Linked DNA regions of Lepisosteus oculatus. Each later gene encodes a partner of the first gene's protein in a complex. Links are inferred from orthologs where the notes say so. Each region holds a gene or a part of one and is shown on either strand. Other genes may lie near its edges.

Evidence for each region. Proteins that work in one complex are often made in the same cells at the same time.
Region 2: the proteins of metal transporter CNNM3 (region 1) and ptp4a3b are in contact, whole or in part, in a crystal structure (PDB 5TSR), measured with the Homo sapiens proteins. The link is inferred for Lepisosteus oculatus from reciprocal best matches to the Homo sapiens genes CNNM3 and PTP4A3. Residues at the interface, in NP_060093.3 of Homo sapiens: Ser357, Asn358, Phe394, Asp396, Lys418, Val419, Asn421, Glu424, Gly425, Asp426, Pro427, Phe428, Tyr429; in NP_001425170.1 of Homo sapiens: Asn5, Pro7, Asp72, Gly73, Ala74, Val105, Ala106, Leu108, Gly109, Arg110, Arg137, Arg138, Gly139, Ala140, Ile141, Asn142, Lys144, Gln145.
Region 3: the proteins of metal transporter CNNM3 (region 1) and ptp4a2b are in contact, whole or in part, in a crystal structure (PDB 5K25), measured with the Homo sapiens proteins. The link is inferred for Lepisosteus oculatus from reciprocal best matches to the Homo sapiens genes CNNM3 and PTP4A2. Residues at the interface, in NP_060093.3 of Homo sapiens: Leu390, His391, Phe392, Val393, Phe394, Asp396, Thr397, Glu405, Ala414, Gln417, Val419, Glu424, Gly425, Asp426, Pro427, Phe428, Tyr429; in NP_001356788.1 of Homo sapiens: Met1, Asn2, Arg3, Pro4, Asp69, Gly70, Cys101, Ala103, Leu105, Gly106, Arg107, Arg134, Arg135, Gly136, Ala137, Phe138, Asn139, Lys141, Gln142.

Annotation. Positions count from the first base shown.
Region 1 is NC_090697.1:69,772,910-69,780,508, reverse strand, and holds the start of metal transporter CNNM3, read right to left. Parts: upstream 3,013-7,599; 5' UTR 2,589-3,012; coding exon 1,187-2,588; intron 1-1,186. UniProt on the Homo sapiens protein: Probable metal transporter.
Region 2 is NC_090705.1:32,846,896-32,854,718, reverse strand, and holds the start of ptp4a3b (protein tyrosine phosphatase type IVA 3), read right to left. Parts: upstream 3,014-7,823; 5' UTR 2,865-3,013; intron 2,148-2,864; exon of another isoform or gene 2,059-2,147; intron 1-2,058. UniProt on the Homo sapiens protein: Protein tyrosine phosphatase which stimulates progression from G1 into S phase during mitosis. Enhances cell proliferation, cell motility and invasive activity, and promotes cancer metastasis.
Region 3 is NC_090706.1:1,404,783-1,412,772, reverse strand, and holds the start of ptp4a2b (protein tyrosine phosphatase type IVA 2), read left to right. Parts: upstream 1-4,977; 5' UTR 4,978-5,177; intron 5,178-7,990.

The sequences.
Region 1 (7,599 bases):
CTGTAAGGGGCAGCGATCGACACCTGTCGTTGAAACTCTAGACCAGCAGCGCCTGCAAGGTATGAATCGATTGCACAGTGCCAGCTCATTAAGAACAGATTTTGACATTGATATTTTTCAAACAAATTACTGAAAAGCACAACATGGTGAATACTAGTAAAACCACAGACTGAGCATCCGTTCTCATCAACAGCAAAAACTGCCCGTGAGGGGACAAACGGATCTTAATGTTGGCCTTCATAGATCAACATACTGTATAGTAAAAACACAGACTTCAGCAAAGGTAAAACCATACAGCAATGACCTAAACTCTGCACAACAATCCACACATTTTCTAACCACTTTATCCTATACAGGGTCAAGGGGGAGCCAAAGTCTATCCCAGCAAGCAATGGGCACAAGGCAGGATACTCCCTGGACAGGACACCAGTCCATCACAGGGCACACACACTCACACCAGGGTCAATCTTCCCAGAAGCCAATGAATCTACCAGTATGTCTTTGGACTGCGAGAGGAAACCAGAGCACCTGGAGAAAACCCCCAAGACCAGTTTGAGGGGGACATACAAACTCCACGCAGACAGCAACCCAGAAGTGGAACCCAGGGCCCCAGCGCTGCGCACCGTGCCACCCCCTAAGGCAGGAGTCCCACGATTACTTGACAGACATCCTCCAAGGAAGGTCTAGCATGGTTACAAGAGCAAGCAATCGCTATCCTGGCCCAATCAGTAGACTAGGCAGAGTGGGAGTTAGTGGCTGTGGCGTGCGATCGTAACGTTCTACGAGGTTCCGCTCCCGAGTCGGGCCTGAACCCCATTCATTCTCCATCACAATCTCAAAGGGGGGAGGAGTGACCCACAGGGATCAGACCTGAATCAGACAGGCTGCACCTGTGACCCCCCCTCAGCTGGCAGCCAGATAGTTCTGCAACTCTCACCACTGTGCTGCACGAGTGAAGCCTGGTGATGCAACCTGCTCACTGCGCTTACTGGACACAAGGCGGACAGGCCTTCTGAGTGCCTACGCTACTGCCCGGGGTCCACGCTAGAGAGTTTCAATCCCCGCCACTCTGTCCTCGAGGCCTTGGCGTTGGCTGGCTGGCCCGGATTCTACCTTGCTGCTGCCCTCCCAGACTGCAGGGGGCGCCGGGCGGGCGGACCCAGAGGGTGCACAGCGGCAACCCTACCTTTCTTGAACTCCTCCAGCATGGCGTCCAGCTTGGTGTCGTTGAAGACGAAGTGCAGCGGGTGGTTGTAGAACTTGGTGATGGTGCTCATGGGCGTGCGGTCCTCCGGGTCCACCAGGGCCAGGTCCTTGAGGTACAGGATGTCCACGATGTTGGAGCGCTCGTCCTCGTAGATGGGCACCCGGGTGTAGCCGCTCTGCATGATCTCGGACATGGTGTTGAAGTCCAGCACAGCGCCGGAGGACAGCATGAAGCAGTCCTTCAGGGGCGTCAGGATGTCCTCCACCGTCTTGGTCCGCAGCGCCCCCCGGCTGAACTCCTCCTTCACGAACTCGTTGTAGGGGTCGCTGGTCCTCATCATCTCCATGACCTTCTCCCGCACGTGGCACGAGCTGACGTCCCTGCCCAGTGCCAGGTCCAGCAGGAGCCCCAGGGGGCAGGACAGCGGGCAGGTCAGGACCATGCACGCCTGCCCCAGCCACGCCACCCCCGGGGCCAGCTGGAACCCGCAGCCGGAGCACAGAACGTGAGGCAGCAGCCCGCTGATGACGAACACCAGGAGCCCGCAGAGGAAGACGGCGGGGAGCAGGGCGCCCAGGGCTCGGTAGAAGAGCACGCCGAGAGCGGAGTAGCCCAGGGCGCACAGAAAGAGCAGCGAGCACAGGAGAAAGTTACCCCGCCGGCGCAGGGGCTCCAGCCGCTTCGCCGTTTTCTTCTCCCGCTCGGACCCGCAGGTGTGCAGCACGTACAGTTCCAGCGGGTCCAGCCCCAGCAGGCTCAGCTTCAGAATCTGGAACAGGGCGCAGGCGAAGAGCAGGAGGACGATGGCCAAAGCCAAACCCCAGACCGGGATGAAATCGGGCTGCGGGTCGTCTGCTAGAACCAGCCTATCCTGGCCAGCCGTAACCCATCTGACGCCGTCCCGGGCGCACAAGCGATGATAAGAACTCCTGGCGTGCTCACCGGAGATGCTGCTGCTTTCTGCAGCCTGCACGGTTATTAGGGCGCTGTGCTCCTCGGCCTCTAGAAATGGCCCCCGGAGTTGAAAGAGAGCCGAGCTCCGTCCGCTCTCGTCTTTGCACGGGTCGGTGGCACCGCCATCCTCCCCTTCTGCTTCCTCCGCGAACGCAACCCACGGCCAGGTCTCATTAAGCAGGTAAGACCCGAAGAGCCTCAGCTGGAAAGTAGCTCCGTAATGTGCTGTTATGACCCGGTGGCGCATGAACACCAGCGCCCCCGGGTCCTCCAGCCTCAGCCCCAACACCCGCGGAGCTTGTTGGCTGCAGGCGCCGAACCCCAACCCGCAGAGGAACAAATTAATCAACGAGAAACTTAAGCCTGCCAAGCTGGCCACCATATTGGAATTGGGCAGCTGGGCTCTGTGCGAGTCATGTGACACCATCTCGGCGTTACACCGTATCAGTCCAGAGGAAGATTCGTCAAGAAGCACATCTTATTTTGTGGAACTCTTTCATTTTTATCACCATTTTGGATCCGAAATCTCCGACAGCGGACAAACGACTCACTCCTTCACTGTTTGAGCCACAATGGCACCCGGACTTCAATTCCTTTGACACGCTTGCTAACAACAGCCAATGAGAGGAAGATGGAAAACTGAAAACCAATAGAAAGACAGAAGGAATTTTGACGACCAATAGAAACAGGGAAAGGGCATTCTGCACCCTCCTCCCTTTGTCAAGTTCGGTGTCGCTGTGTTGTAAACAAGTCGTGTTGCTGCAGTCTCGGGGTCAAGCTTGGATCCTGCATTTAAAGGCGCGGCGTGTGTTTTTCTTGTGTGCTTTTTTTAAAAAAAATCAATCTTCATCTGTTTTCCATAATTATTTCCAGAAATAAAAACGCAACTTTCATGAACATTTAAACACAAGTTAGGACACATACTACAACAGGCCAGGAACGAGCTCTCGGTTCGTTTAGCGATCTTGATTTCTACGTTTGCGTCGCAGACGCCCTTCTGAGCTGTTTTGCCCGTTCATCTGCGAGGTCCTGGTCCACGGTTTGGCAAAGAGATCTCAGAGTTTTAATCCTCCCCATCTGACTTCTTTTTGCAGATGCAATCTGTAAGGAAGTCAGTTTTCATTTTCATGCATGACCGTGCAGAACGCAGCCCTTCTGATGCTGTATCATGTACTGAATATTACATGGGTGGATGCTGCACATTGGTGGTGGTGGAGGGGAGTCCCCATTACCTGTAAAGCGCTTTGAGGAGTGTCCAGAAAAGCGCTATATAAGTGTAAGCAATTATTAATATTATTGTAACGCAACGGGGGCTCAGGCGGGCGCCCTTGCCGCATCTGTTCGGCCCCGGCACCGTCCGGGGCTCGAACCCGGGACTCCTTCGTCTCTCTGCAGCGACCTAGCCCCGTGAGCCAAAGAGAGATCTCTCCCCAGCCCAGTAGCTGTGGTCCTGCTATCACAGGGAAGGGCGGTGACATCACCTGCTCTGGTACGCCGGCTCTTACACAGTGCCTGTCGGCCGTAAGCGTTACATTATTATTATTAAAAGATTTAGGAAAGGGGTGTTTGGAAGTTTTAGTAGAGATATTTGACGAGTTGGGAGAACCAGTTTTGTAGTACTGGAGCTGCCGACTCCCAACGGAGATCGTACAAAGTATCTCAAAGTCACTTGATGTTTTTATAATGGAAACATTTTTAGTGGAGTGTTCATGAACTACATCTCTGTTTTATAAAGGTACGATCATCACCATTATTGATTAGGCTAATTTCATTGAGGGGTAAAAAAAAAACAAACATTTTAAAATATTTTGCAACTCTTTGTCTTTGATACGCTGCACCGTTACTACGGATACTGGAAATGATTCCCATTTTCAATTTCTTGCGACATTTAGTTGCGGTTCCCTTCCCCAAACGCCGTTATTGCTGACCACATTGTTCGTGTTATTGAAGCTGGATAATGTGATGTACTCTATATTATGCTTGCAAATTAAATTTAAATCCCGTGGTAAATGGAAATGTTCCGTAAACTGCAAGGCAGACGGTGACGTTTACAACTTTCGCATACATAACTCCCTACTCAGTCTTCCGAAAACTATCATTACGGCTTAAAACACTAACCCATGTTACCACCTTGAGGCGCTGCGATGTTCGCTGGGTTAATAGTTTCAAGGCCTGTGGCGCACAATTCTTAACTCAGAGAGGGCACTCAGACATTACCAGAGCCGAGTAGCTCTAGACTGTAACAGGGAGAAAAAGTCCTAAAACCCTGATTATATAGGCTGGAAGACAAAAAAAAATAAATAAGATAGTTACATCTTCACAGAGGCAACATATAATGCCTCTCACGGCGCTTTATAACATCTTTGTTTCCATAAGACAAGTCCGGTCAAGAAGTATTTCCAATGACATCTCAAGTCAAAACCCGACTCTATCCCTAAAACATACTACGAACACTTCTATGATAAACATTCTGTATTATTGCGCATATATTTACTTTTTTACGTCTGTGTATTGAACAGTCATAAACTAATATGAATCTTTCATAGCGTCGTGTAGCCTCTTTGAAGCCGTGACACAGATGTCGTATCCAATTCGGCAACCCGTGGATACACCAATCTTGTGTATTCCCTTCCGAAATGCGCTCCGCATAACTTTCTAAAAACTAATGATATCGACGGGGACGTTTTTGGTCGTGATTTGAGTAATGTAAAAAATGACCGGAATGAAGGTTTACTTCATCTCTACACAAGACAGGTGAGCCCCAAAGAAGGCACGCAAGGGCATGTTTTGTCCTTATCTGTTACATATGCGTCATATATACTGTATGTGGATGATGAAAAAAATCACGCGGATGGTGGAAAGACTTTCATGGGTATCGGGGGGGATACTGAATTGATACGGCGCTTGTTCGGCAACAGAAGTAAGAAAATACTACAGCGCTGCACGAAGGGTCCGCAGAAGCAGCCGGAGTCAGTCATGGCCACAGGAGAAAATAACTCTGGCAGCGCTGATGGCTCTGCCTAACGCTGGGACAATGACAACATTTACTTCACACAGCAGCAACAACAGACGTCGCCGAGGAAGGATGCCGTTTGACACCGCAACCCACGCGTGAATCGCTCACCGTTTGTATCCCGTGGCGTGGATTGTCTTCAGCGCGTTGCCTGGCTACTTCTCAGGCCAGACCGGGTTTTGTTTTTACACAAACACCCGCAACCAAAACATCACGTATTGTGACTGGGTCCTCATCAGTTCCGAGAAAACCTGGATTTATTGTGCCGTTTCCCTGCTTGTACAAATCATGCGACACCTTTAATACCACAGAGTTTTTTCTTTGATACTGCGGTTGCCGCGGGGTGACAAAAGTTGTTGTAGGAGAGCGGTTTGGGGGGGTTGTTTACTTAAGTTACACATATGTGTTTTGTCAGGGTTTGACCCTAGCGCAAACTGGACAGCAGACGACAATCTGCACAGATTAAGTGATGCAGTTCGCCTGGACACCCGTTGGTTACCACACGATCAGAGCCGACGCGTGAGACAGTGTGCGGGTGCTGACCAGGTTGGGACTGGACCTCTGGGCCAGCGAGGACAGATGAAGGACACAGGAAGGAGGGACAGAGGACTGTGACACCTGGTCATCTGCATGCAGTTGGATACACCAACCCCACTTACCCATCGCCTCATGATCACTGGCCAGAAAGAGGCCATATGAGTGACCACAATCTGGCCATAGTAACTGGGCAACAAAGACAGACCTGGCTGCCCAGAAAGAACAGGCTGTGCTCCCACTGCCAGCTGGGAGAAATAGAGACAGAGATGTACTTTCAACTGCGCTGTGAGAAACACTCAGGGATCAGACAAACGTTCTTCCCCCAAATAAATCTAATCCCAGAATTCCTGCACCTCAACTCAACAGAGCTGGCTGAGGAACAGAGGGTGAGCCTGTCTCCCAGTCATGCTCTATGTGCTGCTTGTTGTACGTACATGTCCTACAATGTGTTTGTATTGTAAATGTCTCTAGATGTCGTGTCGGTCGTACTTGCTTTGGCAACACTGTAACTCATCGGTCATGCTAATAAAGCTGTTTGAATTTGAAACTGAACATATGAGCCTCAGCCAGTGCAGGCTGGGCCGCTTGCTGTACGCTCCCACCACCCTTTGGGTAAAGTAGTCCCTCCTGTTCTCAGTTTTAAATACAGATAAATGTATCTGGTTGCTCTTCTCTGGACAGATTCAGTGCAGCAACAACCTCTTTATAACATGGCAACTAAAATTTGACATCAGTTTAATATTAGCATAATATTCTAAATGACGTCTGATTTTATGTTATACAATTTTAGCATAACATCCCTTGATTTCAATTCTCTGTTTTTGCTAAAAATACGAACTTTATCTCGCCTTTTTAATTGCTTCCCCACATTGTCTAGAGACTAGAAGATGTGGATGATGTGTCAACATGAACATCTATGCCTGTTTCATAGCCTTTTCTATTGTAGCTCTGTAGAGTTTTACTATCTGCTTGCAAAACCCCCCCACTTGTCTACATTCAGCATCATCGGGCAGGTGTTGGCCCAGGGGTGAATTTTATCTGAGGCTTTTTGAATTTCATTTTCTGCTTCTGCAGTGAAACAGACAGGGCACTGAGGTCTGCACAGTGAGTGAACTGGAGTTTTCCATGTAACCGGAGCCCTCCTATTCATACTGTACCACCCTGTTATCTGGGTGCTCTTTCCTGATAGCCAAGGGTGCAAGATAGCAGCAGAGACAGACGTAAGAAACACAATCGAATATTAATAGAGAAATATATCACGTTTATTAATAAACTTTTCTTCTTCAAAATGTGTTAAGACAGCAATTATAAAACAATATGTACACATTATTTAAAGCATGCCAAAGTAACAGAGGGGAGAAAATGTCAACTTCAAATACCTCTCCTCACCCCCCCCCACCCACATAAAAATAAAAAACAGCATTTGTAATCACAAAATACGATTGTTCGTCACAGTTATTGACACGGTGTTCTGAAATACAAAGGTAACAGTACTGAGAATTGTCATCACTCATAAACTGTGTGCCACAAACACTTTAATCTGGATAAAACATTACCATCATTCATGTTTAACAAAACAGGAGGAATGTTAATCATTCATGTTGTTTCCTGAAGGGGAAATACTGTACCTATACATAGCTAATTTGGTTTTGCAAAACTAGGCCAGATTCTTTGGCAGAGAGAACGGGTGGGCAACAGGTCAGGGCTGAGACAGCTGTTCCACTGGCTTCTCTTCCCCTCCAGCCCAGAGCAGTTTACACAACAGGAGGACAGGCAAGAAAAGCCGATGTCCTAGCACTGGCATACTGACACTGTTCGCACAGGGCCTACTGGTTTTCAGTGCTCGTTTAAGCACTTTAATGAATGCACATCGTTATTCAAAGTCTTT
Region 2 (7,823 bases), on another chromosome or scaffold:
TTGATCACCCACTTCTAAAATAATGCCCTTCATTTCAGTCAAAAGAAAACACAATATTCACTATGACAACTCTCCACGTTTACATTATACTACAGGTAAGAGGTGGCAATTTCCATTACTTTAAGAGGACGCCGCCAATTTGGTTCCAGTCACAGAAATGAAAGACGACCCTTTAAAATTAGGATGACTTCATACGAACAGCCCTGAATTAACTTTTTATAAATCTCAATACATTTGTTGTTTTTTTTAAGGAAGAAATACCGTATAAAACAGAACTGATTTTTAATTAAAGCATTTTACACACAAAAAAAGAGGTGAAATCCCAGCACTACGTTTGTCACTCCTGGACATAAACCTTCAATTTCATGAAAGACTGAATTCTCCTGTGTCACAAGTTCTGTTGCTGATAATTTGGACCTCTTTGGTTCAAATCACCCCATTCTTCTAAACCTCTCGTGAGACCTTCCAATTTAACATAAGGAACTACAATACACCAGGTCTTCCAAAATGACGTACTGGCTGTCGGAGATGAAAACAATCTTGCAACAAAAGAGTAATGTACGTTCATTTACATTGACATGAGTTTTTCTCCAAGCCTGTATGAAAAACAGGATGTGGTTGGTGAAAAACTGTAGTTTCTCATTTTGTGTGCTTTTCATTTAGAAGCCCCTGGAAACACCTGGTTACAGATACATTTGATCTGATTCTGTTCAAACAATATTTGACAAACGAAGGCACAGAGCACTGTGTAGTGGAAATGGCAATATTTCCTTTAACCACGATGAGGAGGACGTATTCTACCTTTGACTAGACAGGAAAGGCTGTTTCTTTATTTCCCTCCTAAAGTCTACATTTCACTCTTATTTTTAACCCGAACCCAGAGGAAGGTTTTTAGGATAGACCTAGGCTCCATGTTTGATTACTGAGAGAGGAGAGAAAAAGCCCACTGTGTAACCTGTTCCAGTCATTTGGAACCAGGAATCAATCTCAAAGTCCCAAACAATGTAAAACGGCAATCACCGAAAACTAATCACAAAGTTTAACGTTAACACAGGCCTATTTCTCTCTGTTAATCTCAGTGCTCTTGAATAATAACTGTTAAAGTCTGAGAAGATCTTTGGCCCACTTCATCCAAGGCACTGTACTACAACTACTTTAATTTTTTCCTAGTTCTAGAGAAACAAAACACTGCTGTATCTGGGACATGCAGTATAAGTCAGCCTATATAATAAGGTGCTAGCAAACATGTAAAAATATGAAGTGTTTTATATCTTTCATTTTTAAAATACATAACCACAAAGGAAAGCTCTAATTAAGGAATGTGTGCATTTTAAAAATACAGGTGGTTGTTGTGGGCACTCTCCTTAGTGGACTTGATTTTTTTAGAATTAAAATGCAATTAGTTAACAAATTAACATATTCAGAAGTCTGCAGAGCATTGTTTCTCTTCCTGGCATTTCAAACAACAAGATGATTTTCCTAGCTGAGACTGGGCACTTACATAGACTTACTTAAAATAGTTTGCAATGCAACAGTCAAAGCAAGTGTGGAAATCTATTATGACTGAAATAAATTGTATTAAAAGCATTCCCTTGTGGGAAAATGATAATCCATCATCCAATACTAACTAACTGTTTATCTGAAGACTTCAAATATAGGTGCCTTAAATATGATAAATTAACAAAATAACATTCTAATACCCATACAACAAAAAACTCCTTTTTCCATTTTCCTATCTGCAGTAGAAAAAGTGAGAATAGATCGACAATACTAAAATTTTCACTCGTTTTTATTGACATTATCCAACCGTAATTATCATTGTTCTCCCATTTTGTCATACTGAGAAACAGCTGTTACTCAAATTAATCTACCACTTGTTTACTTTTACAAAATCTACAATGAAACGTTTTAAACAGATTTAGAGTTTACCACATTAAAAAATATATAGGGCATGCTGTAATACAATATGTACGTCTGCTGTCTTTTGTTTTAATTGCTTTTTTCTTCTTTCTGGTAAAAGAGCTACAACAAGGTCTCAAAAATTAATTTTCTACTAACCTTGCCAACACCAAAGTCACACGCTTTCCATAAAAAGGAAAACGCCTTTATCTGTTTTTGTTGGGGAGGATTGTCGATTAACGTTTTAAAATATACAGCCGTTTAGACAGAAAATATTGTAAATTCTGTATTGTATTAGACCTACATCTCACCACACTGCCTTTATCTGTATTTCTCCCTACTGTAATAGACATCTCCATTGTTTCATCACAAACGGATTGAGATTCATCTTTCTACACTTGAAAGGCGAGCAATTTATATTGCAGCACATTTTTATGAATCTACCGGCTAATTAGCACTCATCTGTTAATTATAGTGGAGTCAGTGCAATAGCTTTATCGCCTGCAGACACCCTTTGTAATGAGCATTGCACGTTCTTTGTTTCCGGTAAGGACCCTTTCTTTGTAGGTTAAACGGTTCCTTTGACCTGAGTATTTCCAATTTCTCATTTTCAACATTGTCCTTTCCTGGATCGGTGCAGATAACGTGGAGAATCTATATTGGCTAAATTATTTTCATCATTCCCTTAAACCTGTTGCCTTCACCCCCCAGCACGCCGGATTCAAACCAAGCAGTCGGATGTGTTGTTTTAACAATCGGTAAAAAAAAAAAGACATTTGCACATCGCATTCACCGGAACATACAAGAACCATCTTCTCGGAAGAAGACATGCAAAAGTACATTTTCTGCATATACAATACTGGCCCTGAATCAAATCCGAGCAGCCACGATCTGCTCGTCCGAGACTCAGAGCCAGGTATTCACACTCCCTTCTTTCCTCCAGGAGAGGAGATCTTCCTACTCACCAATGCCAAATACGGAAAACGTCTTTTCTTTTCTTCCTCCCCACCAAAATACTCTCCCTTCTATTTTAAATTGTGCATTCAGACATACTACACAATATCGCATGAGCTAGTCATAGGGCAGCATAGCGAAACTCGGTCCATGTGATTTCAGAAGCAAAATTACATTTTTGTCCCTCCTCCCGTCTCCATGGGGACGCGCTTTGTCATCATGCTGCGTAGTTGCAAAGAGCAGTGTTGGGCGGACTCAAGAAATTGGCGGCGGGATTAAACGTCTGGTGAAATAGCGGTTTCCTCGGCAGTTCGTCCCAAAACAGCATTATTGGGAGCTATTTTATTCTCGGGTGTTTACAATACTCCAAGACAATTCACTATTCATTTTGAACGTGTGAGCCAAATTGTCTTTTAAGGCCATTTTAACGAGATCGGTGCTCTTGAGGGAGATATAACTCGGAGTAATATTGCGGAATTAAATATATGTATATATCGGTTCTTGAGGATGAAAATGATGCAAATATTCAAGACAAAATTAATTCTGCGAAAGGTTAATTAACTCAGGCGTCTACCAAACTACTCGTGATTAGGAGACGCTTCTTAACATCTAAGATGTAATTACACAGTAGCAGCACACAAAGGAAAAAGGGAAAATAAAAGTTTAGCGGAATAAGCAAGATGCAGAGGATTTATTGGTAATGACAATTAAATTCACAACGCTCCGATAATCAGATTAAAATTGAAACAAGCACAAACGCACAAATTTACTTTCCAATCAAGGTTATAGCAAACACTATCTTACACGGATTTCTTCCGATGAATATTTAAACCCAGTGCTAATATACGTTACCTAATTACATAACACTACAAGGTTAATGGAAAAAATGAACTCAATTTAAAATCCAAATGCATTGAACACTGAAAATTTAACAAATACGTCAAAGAGGTCATAAGATGATTGAACTGGGAAAACAGTTGAAAATAAAATGCAACAAAACTTAAAGATTAGACCAGAAAAAGCAGAATGTGGCAATAAATGGAGACGATGTAACCATAGTCAAAAGCCCCAAAGTTATTGTCAAGAAAAATGAATGCCAAAAAAGAGCTCTTAACAACAATATAGTGCAAATGAAGATCAAACAGATTTCACCTGGTCACGGATGAAGTACTGGATGTTTTTTTTTTTTCTGGAAGGAGTAAAACATGCAGTCAAGCAAATATAGAATAGGAAATTACTGACGGATGAAGTATTGAGTGGCGTTATAAAAAGAAGAGGACTACTGTATAAAGACACATTGGCACAGGTTTCTACTAAGTGTATGGGGGAAAACAGGGGATCACTGTTGTGATACCTTTACACAAAAATTGATCACCACCTTGTAAATCTCCAGGATTACTTTCTTTTTAAATTAAACACCCGCCCCCAACTGCAGTATCCAGTTCAGGGAATAAGCAGAGAATTCCAGAGAATTGAATAAGTACCATGGACCGCCCTTCAAACACGAAGAATGGGTTGTAGTTTTGAACTCCAGATTTATTGATTAGAAGTATTTTGTAAGGATCTCTAAAGCATGAAAGTACTGAGAAAACTACACTGATCTAGTCAGTATCATTTATTATTACAGAGGTGCCAAAGCTGCACAAGGGGTTAGGGCTAAGGATAGAGAAAGATGATAAACCCTTTTACAGCCACAATGGAGTGCTTTAAGATGCTTGATTGGGAAGACAGGCCAGAACATTAATAGAGCCACTTTAAATGCAAACTTCAATATAGTGTCATATATTTCTATAGTGTAATATAGAAACTTCATAATAGAGTCATAAAATCCAGAAGGATTAGTAATACAATTAAAGTGTAGTGTACACAGTATGAAAATGGTTTTAAGCTACTGTTACATGCAACTCATCAGGTCAGAACTTTTATACTGTGATCTGTTACACTGGAAACAGTGGAACTAATTCAGTGCTGAATTCATCCAAAATGATATAAAATGAAATTAAAAGGTATACATATACCAACACACATACACACTTCAAAGATAATAACTAGAAGAATTTAGTTATAAATGGTATTAATTGACCACTACACCTCACATATTAAAAATGTACACATAATGTCTGCATTCCAATGTACATTTTCAATAAATAAAAAGATTTTTAATAAAATGACTCTCATCCAGATAATGACATTGAATCAGAATTAGCCAGGGAATGATCTTTTATGATGATCCCTTCATTACTTTTATGAGGCTTCAGAGTCTGTCAGCAGAGCCTAATGAGGCCTTAAATCAGCCACCAAAATGAAATTCAAACACTTGTTAATTAATACCCCTTCCAGCTGCCTAAGTAATGTAAAGCATTCTAGCCAGGACTACCTTCACACTCATGCTATAATACTTAATGTCTGTTTTCCCCGTTATGTAACTCCAGAAGCTGCAACATATGTTAGAAACTTAAGTTTTGCTTTACAATTTAGCGTTATTTAATTTTTTCCCCCCCATCACTTTAGTTAAAACTGTCTATAACCTTTTAAGGAATCAAGTGTTTATACTTGCCCAGTTTGGTATTTTTAGTATATGGAAGGAAATACTTTGATTCATTTCTGTTCAGTTTCTTGTTTTATCCTTCAAGGGTTGCATTAAGCCTGAACATAACCTGGCAGTCACAAGACCACAAGAAATGACTCCTTCTCCACACAGTCACACCAAATTGTCCCTGTGCTAATTAACTTGGAAAGCAGGTATTTGGAATGTGAGGAGGCACCTGGAAAAAACCCTTGTGTTGGCACCTTCATCCTTCAAACTCCACAAAAAGGTCAGAACTGGACCCAGGATCCAAGAGCCACGAGAGACCAGTGCCAAGCACCCTGCCACCAGTGGCAGGGAATTAATCTGTAAGCAATGAAAACAATGCTGGGAGACCTGAATTGGCGCATAGTGCAAATCACATGACCACATCACTTTCAATAGCCACTCATCCAATTCAGACTCACAGTGTCCAAGTGCCTGTCCCAGCATGCACTGGGCACAAGGTGGGGTACACCCTGAACGGCACACAGAAACGCACACACTCACTCCATGTTTACAGAAACCAATTAACCCTTCAGTATGTCTCTAGACTGTGGGAGAAAGCTGGAGCAACTGGACAAAACATGCAAACACTGGGAGAACATGCAAATCTCATGCACAATAGCACCCCAAGACCACAATGCCACCCCATTGTTGCTTAACTACTGAAGTTTATCACAGAATGTTAGGGATCTCAAGGAGCTGGGTAAACATGATCAAAATCACTTGAATTTGTCACTTTGGTAGAATATCAATATTAAAAGACATGATAATTATTGAATTACAGTTATAAAGAGAACATTGTATCTTAGGGACTTATATTTGTGCATTATAAATCCTATACAGCAGTGTGAAATAGTGGTTAGGTTTCCTGAATGGTATTAGGCCCACATCCTGAGTGAGGCATTGGTGTTTGACTAGAATTTCACTCAGATTCCTCCAAAAAATATTAAGATAAATATGTACAAATTTAAGACCCTTTGGAATTTGAAAGTCACCAGCCACATAAGACCCAGGTATTTTTTTTTACTTTGGACTGTCTGCATCTATAAAAACGTAGCTGTAGTGGAATCCATGTTCAAATTAGATCAGTAATTTTTCAGTATAACATTGACTCACAAATTAATAAAGATCAGAGCAAATCAGAAACATGGTAGTGCTTGAGAAGATACTGAACAGTAAATTTAGTTTATTACTCACATCCACCAGTGAAGTAGTGCCATCTAGTGTCTGTTGCACCTGAATATCTAAATGTATTCACATATCAAAGTATGCAGTATATATATATATCCTCATTATATCTTTAACTTGTTTTCATTATTGGGTGGAATTCTGGTGTAACCCAAAGCTCATAGCATAATCAGTTTTTCTTTTTATGAACAAAGTATATGCATTTAATTCTTAATAAAACTAATCTGCACAAGGATTTGTATTGATCTTGTTTTAGTACAGGGGGTTTCATTTATGGATGCTCACATGAGAGAAATTTAAAGCAACATTCAGCCTAGGATGTGAAAAACGTGGTTTATTTTCCCATGTGCCAGAGGTGTAACATTAAAAATCTTGTAAACTCTCATCTTCAGAAATATCCAATAGAAACTGAAAGGGAAGACAAATTTCACTCAAACGGTTCCGATTAAACATGCCCTAACATCTCCTAAAACTATATGCTTAGGTCAGCTGCGTTTTCTCATGTATTAATGTAGTTTATCTAATAAAAAAAAACATAAGTTTTTTGTCTTAACACAAACAGTGCTCGTCTCACCAGACCAAAACTAAAAGTTTCCAAATTGCAATTTGTTTGATATAACAAAATACAAAACATATATACAAATAAATAAGAAGCTTTGTTTCACTTCTATTACACTGGAATACTGAATATACTGTTACAGTATCTATTTCTTTTCTAACCACTTTATCCATTATAGGTTTGCAGGGGAGCCAGAGCCTGTTCTCAGCATGTAATGTGCGCCAGGCAGACAAACACACACTCACACCAGGGCCACTTTCCCCAGATAAAAATTAACCTGCCACTGTGGGATGAAACCGACACGAACACGAGGAGAACATACAGACTCCACACAGATAGCGTCCCAGGAACTGAACACAGAGCTCCAGAGCGGAGGCAACAATGTAAACCATTGCACCACTGTACATTCTGGTATATATTCATTATATTTTGCCTATATTTAAGATTCATTGCTGTAGCACCTTAATTAGGAATTTGCCTCAGTGTCCTAACATTTAAAAGCATTAAACACAACCTAACATAAAACCATAAGGTAACAAAGAATCTCATACAATATTCAAATAAAATGAAATAACTGGTGTATTAAAGGAGTTTATATTTACATTGTCAATAGTCATAAGATACTAATGTGTAATTGGAAAGCTGTTCAGT
Region 3 (7,990 bases), on another chromosome or scaffold:
GAGACAGAATACCATCCTACAATTTTCAAAGGCATGAGAGTTAAGAGTCAATACAGTTAGCATTTTTTGTCTCAATTTGCAAACTGATATGTGCTACGTTTTCTACTAGGTCGTTAAAACCATGTCCAGACTAATACCCACATGGCCCTGAGTGTTTGGCTTGTGTAGATGTTTTCATGTGGGGGCGATGATAAGATAGGGCTTCTGAGTCAATGTTTGGCTTCCTCCTCTTTCCCTTGAAGTCTAAAGTCTTGTCTTGGCTGGAAGGTGTCAGGAGAACCCAATGGCTGTAGCTCCAGTGTACTCTTGGTAGTGTCTTCAGTGGCGAAGGGGGGGACAACAGGGCTCGAAGAGATTGCAGGTTCTGTCCTGGACGCAGAGGCCGGAGGTCGAGATTGTGCAACAGCGAAATGACCCCGATCGAGACCGAGAGTGGCCTGAGAGAGGGATGACGGCGTGTGCCTTAATTATCCTTGGATCACTTGGAACTGGATCACAGAAACATGCACACGCACGCAATGATGACCGAATGTAAAACCGCTGCAGGTGGGCATTGCCATGGGGTGATGGGATAAAGTGAACTGCAGTTAGATTGTTCCCAGGCGTGATGTCCAGGCACAATGCACACTCCGGTGCTGTCCCCCCGCAGCTTCGCGGCACGTTACCGAAATCCTCGCGCTTGGCTCGTGTCATGGCGGCCGGTAGAAAAGCGAAGTCTCGATGAGAGGGCCGACAGCAGTCTGTGTCGTGCGTGAAGCAACCCCGGCTCCCGCTGGGATCGGAGCGCGCTTGCTCCCCTCTCTGAGCAGCGGGCAATGACTTCACACCGCAGGACCGAGCCTCCGCGCGGGCGAGTCTCCGGAGGGGGTGAAGTCATTTCCGCGGCTCTGCTCCCGCGGGAACCCTGTGACGTCAGCACACGCGCTTCGGCAGCTGAGGTAAAGTAGTTTGGTTTTTTTTAGAGGAAGGTGAAGCTAGATCAGGCAGGTTTTCTGCACTTTTCAAGGGGGAACGCCATCGCTTTTATCCTTTCGTTGTCATGTCCAGTGTTGCCGGGAACTCCAGTATTAGGTTTCGAGCTTTATTTTCGTTTATTTGTGGTCCATTAAAGAGATGGTAATCGCTTAAAAAAAGTGAAAAATCTCTACGTCGACGCCTTTTAGGTTGCTGGTGAATAACGCTTAAATGGATTGCCTATACTTAATTTAAGGACCCTTTGCTACAGCGTAGTTTACAGTGCATTGAGGAATATCTGGGTTGTGAGATGTCTAGTCATGCGTTCGAAGCCAAGATCCTCTCAAGAAAGAGCTGCTCGAGGGTCTCGGATCAGTTAGCTACTGAAAACCAAATAGGCTGTTTGAACCGCAGGCCCCTCTCGTCCGCCATCCCTCTGACTTCATATCTAGTGCCATTGAGATGTAAGATGGAAACTAGGCTATTAAATACACTTCCCCGTACTATAGAACGTTTTTAGCGAATGTCTGTTGAGTTTTCCTTCTTCCTTGCAAATGTATTCTTTTGCTGATTATGACAGGGGACAATGTGATGGTCGCGACCATCTTTTTACATGAAAGTGAAGAATGTGAGAGGAAGCTTGGAGAGAAGAACAACAGCCCTCTGCATTGCTTCGGGACTGACGGGAGTGCTTCCCAAAATGATTCAGTTACACCCCATCTTTTCATCTGTAGACTCTGGTTTCCAAGCGTTTATAGTCAATAGATTGTAGGTGGTGGGGGAAGAAACAAACAGATTCCCACGTTCTTATAAGGACAATCCGTGAGCGGTAAAGTGGATTTTGAACAGTGAAGCGAGCCTTATGATTTAAAAAAAAAAGTACAGCCCTCCAAACATCGGGAAAACTTCACAAAAACTCTTTTTTTTAAGGAACGCGACCAATCTAAACTAACGGGGCGTGCATTCTAATGGATCGGAGTCAAGCAAGTGTATAATACTGTCAAAACTAATCCGTGGTGGCCGAGTCACAAGACTCAGCTCTATACGTGTTCCAAAAATACGGCTCTAACTCTTTTTGTATTTACTTTAACTTCTAAAGCCTGTTAGCTTGATTTAAAAGAAATACATGCTTGTCCGACAGTATTTCCCTTCCAGTATTTCCGAATTGCACTCCCTCGCACTGTTGTATACTTTGCAGTTAACGAAAAAGGCTTGTAAATGATCATTATTGTGACATTCCTAGACAATGCAAGGCATGTTCTTGTTATTTATGCTGGTTTTTATTTTTATTTTTGTTTTTCCTTTATTTTGTGTACTCCAAGAATGACATGCTGTACAACTTACTCATACCCATTTCTTAGCAGGTGTCATGAAGAAGGATGCATGGTATTGTGTGTTTTTGTCACTTCCCCCTCTGGAAGTATGTAAATGTTACAAAGCAAATTTAAGCAGGTATTTAGTGCTCATATAATGAAAGACTACTTTAGAAAATACAGCTAAGAAAAAGTGCCTTATTTAGATTCCTAAGGGATATTGTATTTTTTTCTTTTGGATTAGAAAATTGGCCCATTGCATTACCATTTGCACAAAACAAGACATTGTAAAACTATGTTTCTTCTTGTATAATGACAACAATTCTACAACTGGATATCTAAATCAAAAAGTCTGTATTTGCTAAAAGGATATGTGACTGCCTCTACATTTTTCAAATGAGTAATCAGTGCACCTTGGTGCTGATTTTGAAGGATTGCTTTTATGTAAGTTCTGTTTTCTGTCTAATGTACTATGTAGCAAACTATAGGATATTTGTTTTTTCTTTGAAATTGTCTATTACATGCACTGTCTGTAATAGGAAGTGGGTATAAAATGCACTCCTGTTTTTCTTGTGATTTTAAAAGATTTTTTTCTTTTGAAACTAAAACTACAGTACTTGATTGTATTGATACCACATCAATAAAGAGTATCTTGTATATGTGTTTTGTCTCCTTATTACTTATATTATTATTTTCATTAGTGTGGTGTAGTATTATAATAGGGTAACTAGTCAGAATTGCAATAGTACAATTTAAGAGACTTAACTCACTGGTTTTGCCTGGAAAAAATGATTGAATCACCAAATGTTCCCCTCACATAAAATATCCTTCCAGACTGCCTTCAAACCTAGAAATGATAAATAAACATATGATCCTACAGGAGAGTGCCAAAATATTTGTAGATCTCTGAAAATATCCCACAGGGAACATCCTGCAGGACTTTTTCAGGAAAAATAATGGAATCCCGAAGAAGCCTTTTGGGATATGATAGAGATTTTACCCCCAGAATATAAAAGATTCTAGAGGCATTCTGCAGGACATGTTTGAATCATGCAGAATTTGCATGCAGGGACTAAATCATATCTTTAAAAAAATGACTGACTGAGGCATGCGAAAAAAGAATGGGATTTTACTGTATATCCATCTTATTTGAATTTCAGTGCACATTGTAGAAGACTACAATACTCATGAAAACCGACTGCGGTTAAATCACGCTGCACAGGACTGTTTGAGCTCTGGGTACAAGTGTATACATACTGTACAAGTGTATCACTTCAGAGTCATGCACAGTATTTCCCAACGATCGGCTCCCGTACACGGGGTGTATTTGTCATGAGAAATGATGCAATGATTTGGGGACGAACAAGATTCCAACACAGATGTGCCTTGCAAGTGATGTCCTGTGAAAGGTTTATTCTATTGGATCCAGAACAGTGGGTTTCATTTTTTTCGCTTGTTATAACTTATTTTCCCCCAGTGGGTGGCAGTATCATAAGCTCTTGGGACACAAGAGTGTCCTAGAAAAGATGTTGTGTAGTGGGCAAATAGCCCTGGCGCCTCACAGCCCCCCAGTCCTGGGTTGAAGTCGAGATGGGTGGAGTTTGCATGTTCTTCCTAGGAGAACATCTAGCTCCCACCCCCCACCCCCCCATGTGAGTTTTCTCTGGCTTCTCCCATTTCCCCCCACAAACCAGAGACATGTTGTCTGGAGTAGCTGACATGTCTACAATGTCTTAATATCTACTTGTTAAGATCCATGCTTGCATTTCAGCATTGCAAATAATATCACCAGATATCACCAAAACCTAACATACGAAATCAAACAGAGCCTGGCCAAACCATTACCAAGAGGCTTTCAACAAATTAGATTAAAATAATTGTTTTCCTTTCTCATTCTCATCTAAAAAGATTGGAAAGGGTTCCAAATAAATACTGTGTGCATTCTTGTTGGGAACTTAAAACAATAAGGGGGCTTATTTTGATGTTATTGTGGGAATACACAAAGTTTCCATTGAAATGAATCCAAACTCTTTTACTTTCACTCGAAGCCGAGTAAAACTCCATTATTTCAAACCATCAGCTTTATTTCACATGAGGGACAACCTAATTATAATAACTAGTTTATTGATCTTGATGCAAACGTTTTACCATATATACACTGCATTATTAGCGCAGTGTAAGTTGCACAGGTAAGTGAAAATAGGGTGCGCGGTGCACTTGCACAGAGTGACACATCGGTGCTATTGTCCTCAGTCACCTGATGAAGAAGAAATGTAAGCGGTCTCTGTCGTTCATTCTGACACACCCATGACTCATCAGCTGAAGGCGCTTCACGATAAAACAAGGCAACAGGGAGACCAACAGAGACAGCTGCCTGCAATAAACTGCAAACTGCAATAAACCTGATTAAAAGCCTCTGTATCCAAGCGAGTTTTAAGGGCGGGAGTTTTAAAAGCGCAGCAATAAAATTTTTCTTTTCCAACACCGAGCGTGCTGCAGTAAGGTGACACGCCCCTTTTTTTTCCCCCGCGTGGTTGTGATTTTTATGTTTGATGTTCTACGTCGCTTTTGTTTGTTTGTTTGTTTTCTTTTTCTTTCTTTCCTTCTTTGGACGCGAGGTCCCGCCTCGCGCTGGGGCCACCCAGGCCGCCGGCGCCGCCCCGTCGCTTTAACGTGTGTAGTACGTCACCGGCGCGGCGGGTGACGTGGAGCGCAGCCCCTCCCCGCCGGGGGGAGGGAACGAGCGAGCGCGAGAGGGAGGGAAGCAGGCAGGCTGGCTGGGTCGCTCGCGGCGCTCGGAGCAGACGACGACAACAACAGCGGCGGCAGCAGCAGCCAACGGTCACGGCAGTAAAACGTCCACTTTTCTCCGGGGGTTGTCACGGGATTTCAATGAGCAGCCTGCCCTTTGTAAGTCCGAGTCCCCGCTTTTCCTCCCGCCTCTTCCCTGGCTCCGGGGTGGCCCGTGTGTGCGCCGGGGAAAGTGAGGCGAGGCGGCAGCCATTAGGAGTGAGCGTCGGTATAATCCGCTGCCGCTCGCCGGTCTCATCTTTCGGCTCTAATTGCTTGTTGTTTTTTTTTTTTTTAAATAATTCCGGTCTGTGGCTTGCACTGCCGGCGAAGGTGTTTTCCGTTTCCTTCGATCCTCTGCTCGTGTGTCGTGGTGGGTCCGGGCGAGGCTTTTTAATTCCGAAGGGGACAAAAAAGATGATATATAGACATACGTGTGTCTGATCCGAAAACGGCCTCACGACGTGTAGCTCCCTTTGTTGGGACTTCATAGTTCCAGCGATACGTGTGTGTGTGTATAGATATATTTTAGATGAAGTTGTACGTGTTTCGTGGGCGTTAGGGTTACTACTAGTTTGCTTGTTCGCAACTTCCTGATGTCTGTTTAAAGAAGAGTCTGTTTCCATGTGGAGGTTGCAAAGAAAAAAAAAACCTCAACGAAACTCCTTGAAGTAGTCTGAAAAATAATTATCCCATCGTGGCGAAAAACAAAAATAGCGTCCGTGGAGGAGGGGGACGAGTGCGAGTTTGTCGGGGTTCATTGGGAGGGGAGAACAAAGCCGTTTAAAAGGCTTTTTTTAAATTGGAAAAACGCGACGCGATGTGCTTGCTGGGTTAAAGGGATTTAAAAAAACCCGTGCGAGGCTTGAAGCCTGAGCTGTGCATATACATGGACTTGAGTCTGGGGAGGGAGAGAGACGGCCGACATCTTCTGAGTTGTGTGTGTGTGTATATATATAGTCTTGGCTTGCAAAGAAATCGGTTCTTTCGGAAGAGCATTGCATTGCAAGAGCCTTACAACGGGCTTGCACACATGCATGTATATTTACACGCCGTGTGTATGTATGGCTGTAGTTGTGTGCGCGAAATTGGCTGTCTGCTGTCGGGGGGGAGGGAGGGTAGGTCGTGAAACAGCTGTCACTGAAATGCGTCATCACCACGTTGAAACTCCGCTGCGAGCAGGCAGGACCAGCATCTCGCCTGCTGACGCGAGTCCGGCCTTTTTCTTTGGGTTTCGTAAGTCATTTGCAGAACAAGGAGCGGTGTGTAACTTGAAACTGAGGCGCAGAGCCTGGGCTGGCTGGCTGGGTCTGGATCTCCGCGCACTAATCGTCAGCACAGTAATCACAATAACAGGAATTGATGATGATGATGATGACCGCCGGGCGTCGTCTCCTGCCCCGGCTCTAGGTCACTTGCCCTTGTGCGGGAATCCACGCCACGGTCAGCGGTGTCCCGGCCTGGGGCCCGCTCGTGCAGATTCACGGGCTGCCACGGCCCTGCTGAGTGGACGAAGGTGTTGTTTTATTTAATTGTTGTTTAAAAGGGGGAGTTATCTGTGCGCCCTTGATGACGGAGGGGGCAGATCTCTGAAGGTTTCGCTTTCATTGTTCACGCGGCTCTCAGCTGGGGCGGCCAGCCCACTCCGCGAGTGGCGTGGGGGGCTCTCCGGATATTTGCATGCAGCTGTCGGCGTTGCGGTTCGGGACGTGGAGGGTGGTTGTTACCGGCGCCCCCCCCAGAAGGTCACTTGCTGTGAATCAGCATGCAGCCCCACCCCACACCCCTCGCTGGCTGGCTGGCCGGGTTGGTCGGTCGTCGCCGTGGTCAAGCCCGGCCAAGTGGCGTTTTGCGGTGTACATGCGGAGTGTCTCTGACCTGTCACCTGTCCGCAGCTCTCCGGCAGGGCGCCTCATTGAGACTGGCTGTGCTCCCCCACTCTCTCCTTTTAAATGTGTTTTTCGCAGGTGAAATTGTATGATTTTTTTAACATTGCTAAATGGACATCTTTTTTTAATCAAATCTTTAATTTACACTCCACTTCGGAAGTCCAGTGGGCCCTCTTTCTGTCTGGTGTTGTAAAGAGGCAGGGCTGGGGTAGGTTGCTGTTGTGTGATGTCCGGTGGAGGGGGCTACTTCTGTTGTTACTCCAGTGTGGAGGCCCTTGATGCCCATGCTTGCTCTTAGCTGGCTTGGTATTGGTGTTACTGTCGTGATCCTGACTGTCCTCTAAAGGTTGTTCTGAGGTACAGACGCAAACCCGGTGGTTGGCTACATCTGGGCCTGACTAAAACCGGTCCAAGGGGCTCCCCGCCGGCTGGGGCCGGGTCCGACTCTCTCCGGTTGCTGCGGTTCTGCTGTCGCACTTGTGTTCTCTGTGCACCAAATGTGCAGCTGCCTCAGCGCCTCCAGTCTGCATGTTTGAGCTACAGAAGTGCCTGGTTGTGCCCACGTGTTTCATGTGGTGCGTCTGTCTTTTGGAGTCTCCCAGCCCCTTCTCCTCCCTCACACTCTCCACCTGGCTCCTGGCTGGCTTCTCTCTCTCTCTCACAGAAGGGCTGGACATCTGACAATTAAAATATTTGAGATGTGTGACATGAAACCCCCCCCCAATGTCATATCCTTCTGCAATTTATTCTGGATAAATCGATCGAAACCCGTGTTGCTCGTTCAGGTCGTGGGAGTGGCCTGTAAGCCATCCTGCGTTTAATTTCGTCGTGTTTTACAGAGTGTCGGAGTGATGTTATAAGCCAGCTTCCTCCCCCACCCCCTCATCTTTTGTGTGCATAGTGTTCATGTGAGAGTGGGGTCAGTGTGCTGCTGTCTGTGGCTGGTGTTGTCATCCCCAGGGGGCTGCTGAAAGCCTCCAGCCTCGCTGCTGCTTCCCTGTAATGAAATGCTGCTTCTCAAAGATGTTTATTAAATATTTAAAG